Sus scrofa: one gene and its partners. The protein of the gene in region 1 interacts with the protein of each later gene in a pairwise test. Links are inferred from orthologs where the notes say so. Each region holds a gene or a part of one and is shown on either strand. Other genes may lie near its edges.

Region 1 (4,289 bases):
TACTTCCTGAAACTTCAATGAGGCTTTCATAAGAAAGAAACAGGCCACTTCGTGGACATCTAATGACAAAAAATGAAAAACACATGGGCCATGGCAGGAAATGTAAAATCTCCCTTCATCTTCTGAGGAATGGGAAAACATTTTCTCTTTTGTACACTAATCAGGAGAGACTAGTTTGCCACAGTAACAACCCTAGATTCGGGGTATTGAAATTACTCAGGTTTATTTCCCACTCATGCTGAATGAAGTTGAAATCAGCTGGGGGCTTTGCCCTGCTTTGTCTTCACTGTGGATTCTGGGTGACAGACTACAAATACCTAAAATACTGTTTGAGAGGGGAGAGCCTCTCATATGAACAGTTAAATCCTCTGCCAAGAGGTGACAGTCAGTTTCCTTCCTGACTCACTAGTTAAAACTTCTCACAGTGGCCTACTTAATTGATTACAGTGCTGGGGTGGGGGGAGTGAGATTCTACCATGAATCTGGAAGGTACATGAACATCTGTAATAACTACCGCACAGCAGATTTTCTCCTTTTGTCTGCTTCCCTTTTCAGGCTGGGTCAGGAGTCCTTGTGCTCTTAATGCTCTGTGATCCACCACTATCTGCTTGATTCTGGCATTATGAGTACAATTCATGTTATCAAGAAAGACTAGTATTGGTAGACCAGCCAGTGGGATGGACAGGATCCTCTTGTATCAGATATTCACCCTGTGCCCAAGCAGCCTGGCTGGAAGGGTGGGTGTGGGGTCTGTGGTTCCTCCCAGGCAGCAGGAGTAGTGGGGGCAGTGCAAGGTACTCCTAGAACTCCCATTCTGCCATGCTGTTTCCTTATTCATTCGCGGCTGTGTCTCTCATCTGGCTTCTGTCACTCTGGTGACTCCTCCTTATACTTTATGGTCCCAACATGGGGTCAGAATTCAAATTCTACTCTATATGCTTCTGAGTCTCAGAAAACGGGGAGTAAACTCTAATTACCAGAATACAGAAGCTGTCCAGCACTGCACTGCTACAAATTCATCTAGTTACATCAGTTTTTTTCTAGCCTAGATTCATATACTTTTTTACATATGTAGTATTTATATAGTTTTGCGTCATGCTTTTCACATTATCTAATGCTTATTTTGGATTGAAAATCCTAAATCCACTGTCAAATTAATACCAAGTTCATATTTGGGCTTTTTAATATCTGTAAACAGGATTATATGCTATAACTGCAGTAATAAATTCTATTTACTGGACCAGCTTCAAGGTTTAAGCATTTTTTTTTCATGTTTTTAAGTCGTTAAATTGTATCAGATCGAGAAAAAACAAAACAATAACCCAGCATTGGTGGCTTTCCCTAACGTTATCTCGGCTTAAGGGATAGTAAAACCAGGACAGAGAAATGTTTTCTGTGACCAAGCAAGCAAGGAGCAATGACTTATTCATTACCCTAGAGAGAACGCCACTCCTCTTTTCCACGCTGCAATGAGGCCAGGCTCAAAGGGCAGGCGGGCTGGCTTCAGGCAGCGCCCTTGTGGCTACCTGGAAGCCCAACAAGTCACCGGAGTTCTGCCGGTGCCTCGGCTGCCAATCTGCAGCCACCGGTGGGCAGTTCGCGGGAGCGCGAGGACACCCCTGCGGCGGGAAACCGGCTTTGGTCCTTAGGGCAGGTAGCCGGCCGGTGCGGCGGAGCCAGGTGCCAGGGGCTGGCGCGGGCGCCCAGGTAGCGCTTGCCGCAGCACCTGCCGCACCAAGCCCGCGCCCGGGGCGGGGCTTCCCGCGTCTCCTTTAAGAGGCCGCAGCACCCGCCCCTGACGTCAGGGTGTCTCTCCGCACGAGCCCTCGTCCCGCGCTGCTCCTCGCCCCCGCGCCCACAGCCTCAGCGGCGGCACGACGAGAGGCGGCCCGGCCAGCGTGCCGCTCAGCTCGGCCTTCCCGCCACGCTCTGCTGCCGCGCGCTGTCCCCACTGCAGCCGGCTGCTCGTCCTCCCAAACCATGTCGGTGGCCGGGCTCAAGAAGCAATTCCACAAAGCCACTCAGGTAAGGCGCGTGACAGGTGCGCCGCGGGGCGGTCCCGGGAAGAGCCGTGAGGGGCGCGCTGGGCACCAGCTGCTGGTCTGGAGCGTGCGGACCCCGGCCTACGCCGAACCCGCCCTGGCCGCGCCTCTCACGGCCCGCCGCTGCGGCCCGGGCATCCCGGGACTGGGAGCCCACACTTCGTCCCCCATCCCCCGGCTCAGGGCGGCGCTGCAGGCATCCGCGGGTCCTCGGTGTCCCGCCTAGACGCCCCGAGCACCGCCCCCGCATCTCCCGGCGCGGGCGCAGCAGGGAGGGGGCCTCAGTACACCAGGCGCTCTGGTGGCGGCGCGGCGGTAGATTATGTAAAGTCGCCTCTTCCCTGGTGACCTTGCGGTGTCGGTGCGCCTAGCTATCCCGGGATGTGCAGGCACGAGCGGTGGCCCGCACTGGGGGTGGCTGCAGAGATGTCTGCCGCCTGCGCTCTTCCCCCGTGGTGTCTGAATCCCTCCTTCCGCGGCGATCGCAGGCTTCCGAGGAATGGGGCTTCCTTTTGGGAAGCTCATGCATTAACTTTTCCTTGGAGAAGTTGGTCTTGAAACTCCTTTGAGGCCAAGGCTTGACCAGCAGCCTGCGCGTTTTTAAACATTTCCCATGGGTTTTGCAACCTTAACATTACCAAATCATTATGTGTTTCAAAGTATTATTTTTAGTGAGCCTTTTACATATTAGATGTGCCCACTTTTATGGGGTTAATAATCTGTGATTACAATAATACTTATTTAATTCGGATGCTAATAATTTGAATCTCATTGGACTCGGTTGAAGAATTTTACATAGAGAAAGTAAGTTAATGCTTATAATGTGACCTATTTCTTATATAATGAGTATAGTTACTATTTTTTTCTTTCTTTCTTTTTTTTTTTTTTTTTTACCATTCGGAAACAATTCCAATTTAAGACATTTTTAGCTAGGGACTTAGTTAATTTCTTGAAATATTTCTCATAATTTGGCCTTAAATATTTTTTTTTCGTAGATTTGCCATAATTACTGCCAGTTTTTCTCATAATATCTCAGAAGTAGTGAGATTTTTTTCCCCCCAGACAACCATAGTAACAGTCCTATTATAAACCCCCTCCAGAAAAGGTGAGGGTTATGTTTTACAGAATTTTGGTTATGTTAGGATGACAGACGCAGCCTGAAGTTCATCCACTGTGTGCCCACATGACATCTCTATCACCACAGACTTACCTTTATAGAATCAGTTATATTTGTCAGCTCGGGCAATGGAGAAAAATAAGATCGTTTTGGTAAAAATACTCATTAGTGTATTTTTGCTTTTCACGTTGGATCTGAGACCTCTCTACCAGAAATATTTGTAAATATAAGGGCGATTTTGGTGTAATTTGGAAGGCCTCTAATAACTTTATACTTCAGATTCCTTCAAGTTTACAGAAGCAGCCAGCGTATATGCGACCTGTAAAATTTCAGGCAGGGCTTCTTTGATGTTACTAGCCTTTTTTATTTCTGGTATTCGTCACTAGTATAAAGCACCCTCCAGCAGTGAATTGACCAACACCTTATCCTTTTCTCACTTTGGTTCTGAAGACTTCCTTTGCACAGCATGGTGCCCTGAAAGGCAATTAGGAACCTTGGCTTTGGAATGGGAAAGGCTAAGGATTGACTCACCTCTGGTGTCCATGACCTTGAGCAAGTTATTTAACTTGTGAATCTGTCCTTTCTAGAATGAGGGTAATAGCCATTTTCTTAGGATTGATGTAAGGATAGGTGAGTTTGTATATAGAAGCTGGAATTCCTAGCTTTGCTACCTTAACAAAAAACAGCTCCATTTTAGCTAAATCCTGAAGTTAAATGCAGCTCTGAAGTTGAGAACAAAAACTTGAATTGTAATATGAAAGAACGTCTGAGAGCCTCAGAGGAGGTCTTCTGTTGATAAGATTAGTATTTATCAGCATCCAGATATAGAATCACTGTCATCTTCCTTTTTTTTTTTTTTTTTAAATCGAAAGGCCTTTCATGTTTAAAGGTGAATTCACGCACCATCTCTTATCCATAACTTAATGTAGCACAATCTTAGAAAATCCAAGGCAAATGTTATTTTTCCTGTGGATGTGTGGGCATTTTCTAGGGCGTGTAAAGCCAGTGCTAATGTTTGCCTGTATCAGAGATGTTAGGGAAAGTAGCCATTTCCTACTTTTTAAACCACCTCTCCCCTGATACAGTTCATGAACTTGATCTTATCTGCAGAGAATACTTTAGACTTAGAA
Region 2 (3,650 bases), on another chromosome or scaffold:
AGTCACCATATGTTGGAGCAAATCAAGTGATCATTTTGAATTTCAGTTTTCTCAGTGAGTAAAGTAGTTTTTGCCTAGTCTACTTTAGGGTCTTGTGATGAAATTCATATGGGGTTCATAAATATGAATATATTTTATTATGGTTTTATAAAGGGCCACTCAAATGGGAGGCAAATACAGTGCATAACAATTTTTGGAGGGGATCACATTTCCTGTCTTCTTAGAAACTTGGTTCATTGATTCCACATTTATTTTGGGCTTACAGGCTTGCAATGCTATGTGTTTCTTTTTTTTTCCCCCATTCATTCATTTGAAACATTTTTATTGAGGTTTTTTTTTTTTTTTTCTGTCTTCTTAGTGCCAAACCCATGGCATATGGAAGTTCCCAGGCTAGGGGTTGAATTGGAGCTGTAGCTGATGGCCTTCGCCACAGCCATAGCAACGCATGATGCAAGCCGCATCTTCGACTCAGCCACAGCTCATGGCAATGTCAGATCCCCAAGCCCACTGAGCAAGGCGAGGGATTGGACCCATGTACTCATGGATACTAGTCTGGTTTGTTAACCACTGAGCCACTATGGAAACTCCCTATTGACACTATTCTGGGCCGAAGTGCGGGATCCAAGCCGAGTCTGCAACCTACACCACAGCTCACGGCAACACCGGATCGTTAACCCACTGAGCAAGGGCAGGGACCAAACTGGCAACCTCATGGTTCCTAGTCGGATTCGTTAACTACTGTGCCATGACGGGAACTCCCTATATATCCTTTTTAAGGATTAACAAACACAAGGGCCCAAGTTTTATCTGTGACCAGCCTGAAGAATGTGCTGACAGCAGCTATAAAAATGTAAAAAGTGTATACTTTGATAGGACCTTACAATTAGGTTAAGATTGCTTTTGCTACTTAATGTTTTGTTTCTATGATAACTAGAGTTGGAGCATGCAGTGACATAATCTATCTTAATCAGTGCATGGAACTTTTAAAAGAAAAATCTTTAAACTGAAACAAAGAAAAATATACCCAACTCCATTAAATGTCTTTAGTTGATATACATTTCTTACTTTCATGTAAGTGTAATTTTATGGTAAATTCCTTTGAACTTTCTATTTTTCTAATTTGGTCTTCAGTTACAAGGAAATTATTCAGTTGACAAAAAATAGTTTCTAAAATCTTAATTTCTTCTGTGTATCAGTAATTATTTGACAGTATTCAGATGATATGGAAATGAATTTTGAAAGTAACAACATGATTATAGAAGTGAAAGAGTAGGGAGTTCCCTTGTGGTGTAGCAGGTTATGGATCCAGTGTTGTCACTGCAGCGGCTCGGGTCATTGCTGTGGTACAGGTTTGATCTCTGCCCAGGGAGCTTCCATATGCTGTGGGCCACCCCACCACCACCACCAAAAAAAAAGAAAGAGGTGAAAGAGTAAAATCATAGTTGTTAATAGATACACCCAGCAGTATTACAGGTTTGCTCTTTATACTAATCAGAAAAGTGACAGTTGTTGAATAATAGTTTCCTTCCATGACCCTTGTTACTTAGGGTGAAGAATCACTAAAGTGAAGCAAATTGAACTATTTCCTCTAAATCTTTGAATCTGAATAGGTTTATATAAAATACGAAACCTATTAGATACTCATTTTGAAGTTATGTGGAATATGAACTCTTCCTTGGATTATCTTCCCCTTTGCCCTAATTTGAGTTTCCAGTTTCCTTAGTTACTGAAGAGTGGATTTTGCTGTGGTAAATAAACTGCTAAAATGTGTTTATTATTTGAAGGAGAAACAAATAAGCCTACGTCTTAGGGATTCTCTTCCCCTCCTCCACACATGTATTTTAAAGAAACAGTCTCACCTTTTAGTAGAGAATGTTGTTATCTTTATCCTAAGAAGTAGCACTTGTCCTTCCTTAGAAATCCAGTTTTTAACTTCATTTAAAACACTGCCTTTTAGAATTCATATATTTAGTTAGGAGGGAAAATGACTGTTGTACATGGTTATTAGTAATTGTTTTCATTCTTCAGATATTTATACTTTGTCGTCACCATTATTCCTGAGACTTTGGAAAAGAAAACAGGTGATGAGATGAGTAATTGGGAGGTCAGATAGAACTGTTACCTAGATCTTTCAGAAAAGCCTTTTTGATGAAGCGACATTTTAGCTGAGGATATAATGGGTAACTTTTCTCTTTCTTGTAGTTCCAAGATTATCCCCTAAAACTCACAGACCCAGGTCTCCCAGACAGAATAGTATTGGAAATACTCCTAGTGGGCCAGTTCTTGCTTCTCCCCAAGCTGGTGTTATTCCAACTGATGCTGTCCCTATGCCTTTACCAGCTGCATCTCCTACGCCTGCCAGTCCTGCATCCAACAGAGCTGTTACCCCATCCATTGAGGGTATGTAAGAAAGGGCTTCTAGATCCATGATGTCATTGGTGAAATTGAATTTTAGACATTTAACATTGTGTGAAAAATGGTTATGTTGTTTTATCCATAGGTAAGTATTTGATGGCATATTAAAAATTTTATGTAAATAAAGTTAGTTGTTTAAGTAATACTGCTAATTTCAGGAGTTCTCATCATGGCTCAGCAGTAATGAACACAACTGGTATCCATGAGGACACAAGTTCGATCTCTGGCCTTTCTCAGTGGGTTAAGGATCTGGTGTTGCTGTGGCTGTGGCGTTGGCTGCCAGCTGCAGCTCCAAGTCAACCCCTGGCCTGGGAACTTCCCATATGTAGCAAGTGTAGCCTGAAAAGAACAATAAAAATAAAACCTGCTAATTTCATATATGTTATTCTGAAAGTTTAAGAGAGTTTACATTCCTGGGTAGTAAATAACAATATAAGTAAAATTTATTAGTGGAATTTCCTGGTGGCCTAGCACTTAAGGATTCGGTGATGTGGCTCAGGTTTCTTCCCTGGCCCAGGAACTTCCATATACCATAGGAGCAGCAAAAAAAAAGAAAAAATATATTTCATATGTCTGCGAAGTAGGAAAGTCTCTGTTTAAGTGGAAATATTCTTTTCCAAAAACACAGGATCAAATGGTTGAGTATTTTCCAATTTTACTTCTATAGCTTCTATTAACCTTTTTATATAAAATACTGTTTTCTAGCTAAAGATTCCAGGCTTCAAGATCAGAGGCAGAACTCTCCTGCAGGAAATAAAGAAAATATGAAGTCCAATGAGACATCACCTAGCTTCCCAAAAGCTGAAAGTAAAGGTTAGAGCTTTAAAAAGTCTTTAGGTATATCTGTAGAAATAGGAAGGAATATGTCTAATCTGATGCCCAGTACATATTACTTTTTTGGTCAACACTTTAATTTCTTAGTGTTGTGATATTTAAGTGCATAATTTGACAAATGTCAAAATCTATAATATATTGAAAGTTTTGTTATTTTGGATAGAGGTTATTTTTCATTTCCACCATCCCATCCTAAAAAAAATCTTAAAGATTAGAAATAAATCTAGGAGTTGTCCTGTAGTACAGTGAATTGAGGATCCAGTGCTGTCACTGCAGCAGCTTGGGTTGCTACTATGACACCAGTTTGATCCCTGGCCTGGGAACTTCCACATGCTATGAGCACAGCCAAAAAAATTAAAAATAGAAAAAGAAATCTAGATCTAATACTTCATATTTTTACA
Region 3 (3,650 bases), on another chromosome or scaffold:
TGGGGAAAAGGCAGGATTTCTCTCAACCCTCCACTAGAGCTGCCCAGGATGTGTCCTATGTAATCATGCTGGGACAGCACTTGGTTCCTGGGTTTTGAACCATCTTACATCTTCCCTCAAACACAAAGGCCATCTGAGACCAGCTCATAAAATCCACATTTCTCGTGAGCTGGGAGCGTAGGCGCTGCTGCAGACCCCTCCAGCTCTGTCACCCAGCCAGGCCATGTCACTGAGTAGGAGCCCGTTTCCCGACACCTAAAGGGAGGGACCCACAGGACAGGGTGAGAATCCATGTGGAGAGCTTCCAGAGGAAACAAATCTTGGCAATTTGCAAAGTGATTAAGATGAGCACTTGAGTCCCCCTGTGGCTCAGTCAAAAACAATACAGAAACAGATCACGGACGTGGAAGACAGACTTGCATTTGCAGGTGGGGGCGGTGGGGTTGGGGAGGGCCTAGGAGTCTGGGGTTAGTAGATGCAAACTATTGCATTTGGAATGGATAAGCAATGTATAGTACAGGGAACTATATCCAGTCACTTGGAACATGATGCAGGATAATGTGAGAAAAAGAATGTGTATATATGTATAGCTGGGTCACTTTGCTGTACAGCAGAAATTGGCAGAACATTGTAAATCATCTATAAAAAAATAATAGTCTGCTTTGTGTGCCTGTGATAAGTATAGACAGAAAGTGGGGTGCCAATGAAGGCCAGGAAAGCTCTTGTCTGGGTGGAATCTGGCAAACTTCCCTAGTGTAAAGCCAGCAGGCGAGCTCAGACCAGCCTGACCCTGCTCCTGGCAGTCTAGGAAAAAAATGCTCCACTTTTTCAGCTGACGTCAGTGGTTCCAAGCCCATCTTGTTCCTTATTGCTTAGGAGTTCCCAGCCCTTCCATGCATAGAGTTTAATTTCTGATATTATTATTGAGTTCTTAGTTAGACCAGTGAAAACGTTTAAGACATAAAAGCTGAACATCTTATGAGAGGTCAGTCATATTGATAAGCAGGAGATGAGGTCGCTGTGGGGGAGGCAAGAGGTACCTGGCCCCTACATCCTGGGTGGCAGGCAAAGCCAGGACTCTGGGCCAAGGCACCGGGAGTCTTCAGTGCCTCTCAGTTCCCAGGCCACACAGGGTTTGCTGGCCATGTGGAGTGGTTGGCCCTGGGCTGCTCAAGTTCAAGGGGTAGTCTTTCAGCAAGTGCTCTTACCACAAGGCACTGTGTTCACGGGACTGTTCACATTTTTAGATGTCAATGAATGCGCTGCGAATACCCACACGTGCAGCCTCCATGCCACTTGCCTCAATATCCTAGGATCCTTCAAGTGTAAGTGCAAGCAGGGATATAAAGGCAGTGGACTTCAGTGTTCTGGTAAGTACACTTGGCCGTGGTGTCTGAGCTATTCCCATAAAGCCTTCTCTCCACGTCTCCTTCCTCCCTTCTTTCTCCCTCCCACTCTGTGTGTCTGGCGTCATGGGGGTGGGGAGGTGCACACGTACAGTGTTTAGAAACTTAACTCTGCCTCAGACTTGTCTTCTCAGCTAACCAGACCACATCTCCAATTCTCACGCACGTTGTAAGTATGACACTTAAAGTAAACCAGGGTGCTGGAGATTTTTCTGGTCGCAACATACTTTCAAATACTGAAAATAAGATTGGAGCACAAATGACACTGAGCAGGTGTATTGGTCAGGGTAGGCTAGGTTACGGTGCAGTAACAAGCAGTCCTGAAATGTCAGTGGCTTAGAATCACAGGAGGTTTTTCTGTGCATCAGGATTTTTTCCAGAATGCACAACTGACTCAAAGTATGATGGCACTGATGTCATTTTATCATCATCCTCAAGCCTCTTTTCACTTTTTTTGGTATATAGCAAAGAGTCCTGGTATTCTGGCTGGTGAATTCCTTCATGCTTAGGTGGCAAACTCTGAAATTGATAAACCAAAGGTACAATAAGAAAATGTCACTGCTCTTAACAGCTATAGCAACAATCACAGTCTCCTTCTCATGCTCTATCCGGAGAGAGTTGTCAGGGCGTTTCTTCCCCATGGAGTCACTCAGGGACCCAGGCTGACCGAGACCCCACCATCTTATGGTACCATGGTGTCAATCCGAGGCCTTAGGGTTTGTCACGGTAGGGAAAGAAGCATGGACAGTCACACCCCAGCTCTTATTTAATTCACTTTGGAAGCAGGGACAAAAATACATACAATCCCGCTATGTGTCCCGAAAGAGAAGCAAACTAGAAATGATGCTGAGCGCCTGGAATGTCGACCCAGACAAGGCAGCAGCAATTGCAGTGCTGCCACTCCCCTGGCCAGTAGTGTCCCGCTGTTTTTAGTCACCCAGGTTATCCTCTGAACATGTGCCTTTTAGCACTGGCCCATCACGTGCTAAGGTTTATTGACTGCCCTGACCCAATTCTCCTAGACCCTTAGCGGAGTTCCCACAAGTTCCAACAAATACAGCTGCAGGTTGTCCTTTGACCTGTATCACATCCCATGCCCCCATCTGTCTGATGCTCTCGGTGGCTCAGCAGAGCGGCCCCTCCCTGATGACAAAAATGAATGGTCTGCGCCAGGACAGACACTGAGCATCATACCCATCAAAGGTTCCTCATCCCCCAGCGGGCTGGGGCAGATGGCGCTGGGCGAGAGGATGTTTGAAAGAATACAGGCAAAGAAAATGAGCCTGGAAATCACATTCCATGAGGACCTGCCCAAAGATCTGGGCAGAATTTAGCCTGGAAGAAGAAAACAGTGTGGGAAAGCACGAATTGTGCTAGTAAATATTTTAAGGAAGGCAAAGAAAAATGGCTTCCCAAAGCCAACCAACGCCAATGGGTAGGGCTGTGTTCTCTCTTAAAAATGCACACCAGGGAGTTCCTGCCATGACCCACTGAGTTAGGAATCTGACTGCAGCGGCTCAGGCCTCTGTGGAGGCATGGGTTCAATCCCCAGCCCGGCACAGCAGGTTGAAGGATCCCAACTAGGGATGGAGTTCCTGTTGTGGCTCAGTGGGTTAAGAACCTGACTAGTATCCATGAGGATGCGGGTTCGAGCCCTGGCCTCACTCAGTGGGTTAAGGATCTGGCATTGCCATGAGCTATGGTGTAGGTCACAGACGTGGCTCAGATCTGGTGTTGTCGTGCCTGTGGTGTAGGCCAGCAGCTGAAGCTCCACTTTCACCCCTAGCCTGGGAACCTCCATATGCCGTGGGTGTGGCCATAAGAAAAATGCACCCCAGGTATCTAAGAGTGGAGTAGGAAACCCCAGGGTTTGGGTATGGATTCCTGCCTTTGGCTGGATGGGATTCAGTGGCTACTCCGGCAGCTCGATGCTGCAGTTCTGTCCCTCTGTGTAGATGTGCCCATATGTCCAGAAATTTGATTCTAAGAAAGAGATGGGCTGCCGGTGCAGGGCTGTGCATGGGTGGGGTGGGGGAAAGGTGCTGTCATCTTGAGAGACCCTCAGGGAGGAACTGGAACAAATCAGCTTTCCATATAGGATCAGTGGTCAAGGCTTCCTTCACGCCTCCAAGTTTGCAGATGTCCCTTGCAGCCTTGCTTGTCTCAGGCTGTGTGGTGTAACGGTCACCAGCTCTGGCTCAGGAGCTGAGCAGGCCTCACCTGCACTCTGAGCTGTGCCCCATA

Evidence for each region.
Region 2: the proteins of SH3GL2 (region 1) and ATXN2 interact in binary tests that used the Homo sapiens proteins (3 or more experiments, as listed by UniProt). The link is inferred for Sus scrofa from reciprocal best matches to the Homo sapiens genes SH3GL2 and ATXN2.
Region 3: the proteins of SH3GL2 (region 1) and EGFL6 interact in a two-hybrid assay, tested with the Homo sapiens proteins (2 studies listed by BioGRID and IntAct). The link is inferred for Sus scrofa from reciprocal best matches to the Homo sapiens genes SH3GL2 and EGFL6.

What each region holds. Positions count from the first base shown.
Region 1 is NC_010443.5:205,282,553-205,286,841, reverse strand, and holds the start of SH3GL2 (endophilin-A1), read left to right. Parts: upstream 1-1,482; 5' UTR 1,483-1,980; coding exon 1,981-2,025; intron 2,026-4,289. UniProt on the Homo sapiens protein: Implicated in synaptic vesicle endocytosis. May recruit other proteins to membranes with high curvature. Required for BDNF-dependent dendrite outgrowth.
Region 2 is NC_010456.5:32,706,060-32,709,709, reverse strand, and holds part of ATXN2 (ataxin-2), read left to right. Parts: intron 1-2,202; coding exon 2,203-2,400; intron 2,401-3,120; coding exon 3,121-3,228; intron 3,229-3,650. UniProt on the Homo sapiens protein: Involved in EGFR trafficking, acting as negative regulator of endocytic EGFR internalization at the plasma membrane.
Region 3 is NC_010461.5:10,259,518-10,263,167, forward strand, and holds part of EGFL6 (epidermal growth factor-like protein 6), read left to right. Parts: intron 1-1,247; coding exon 1,248-1,370; intron 1,371-3,650.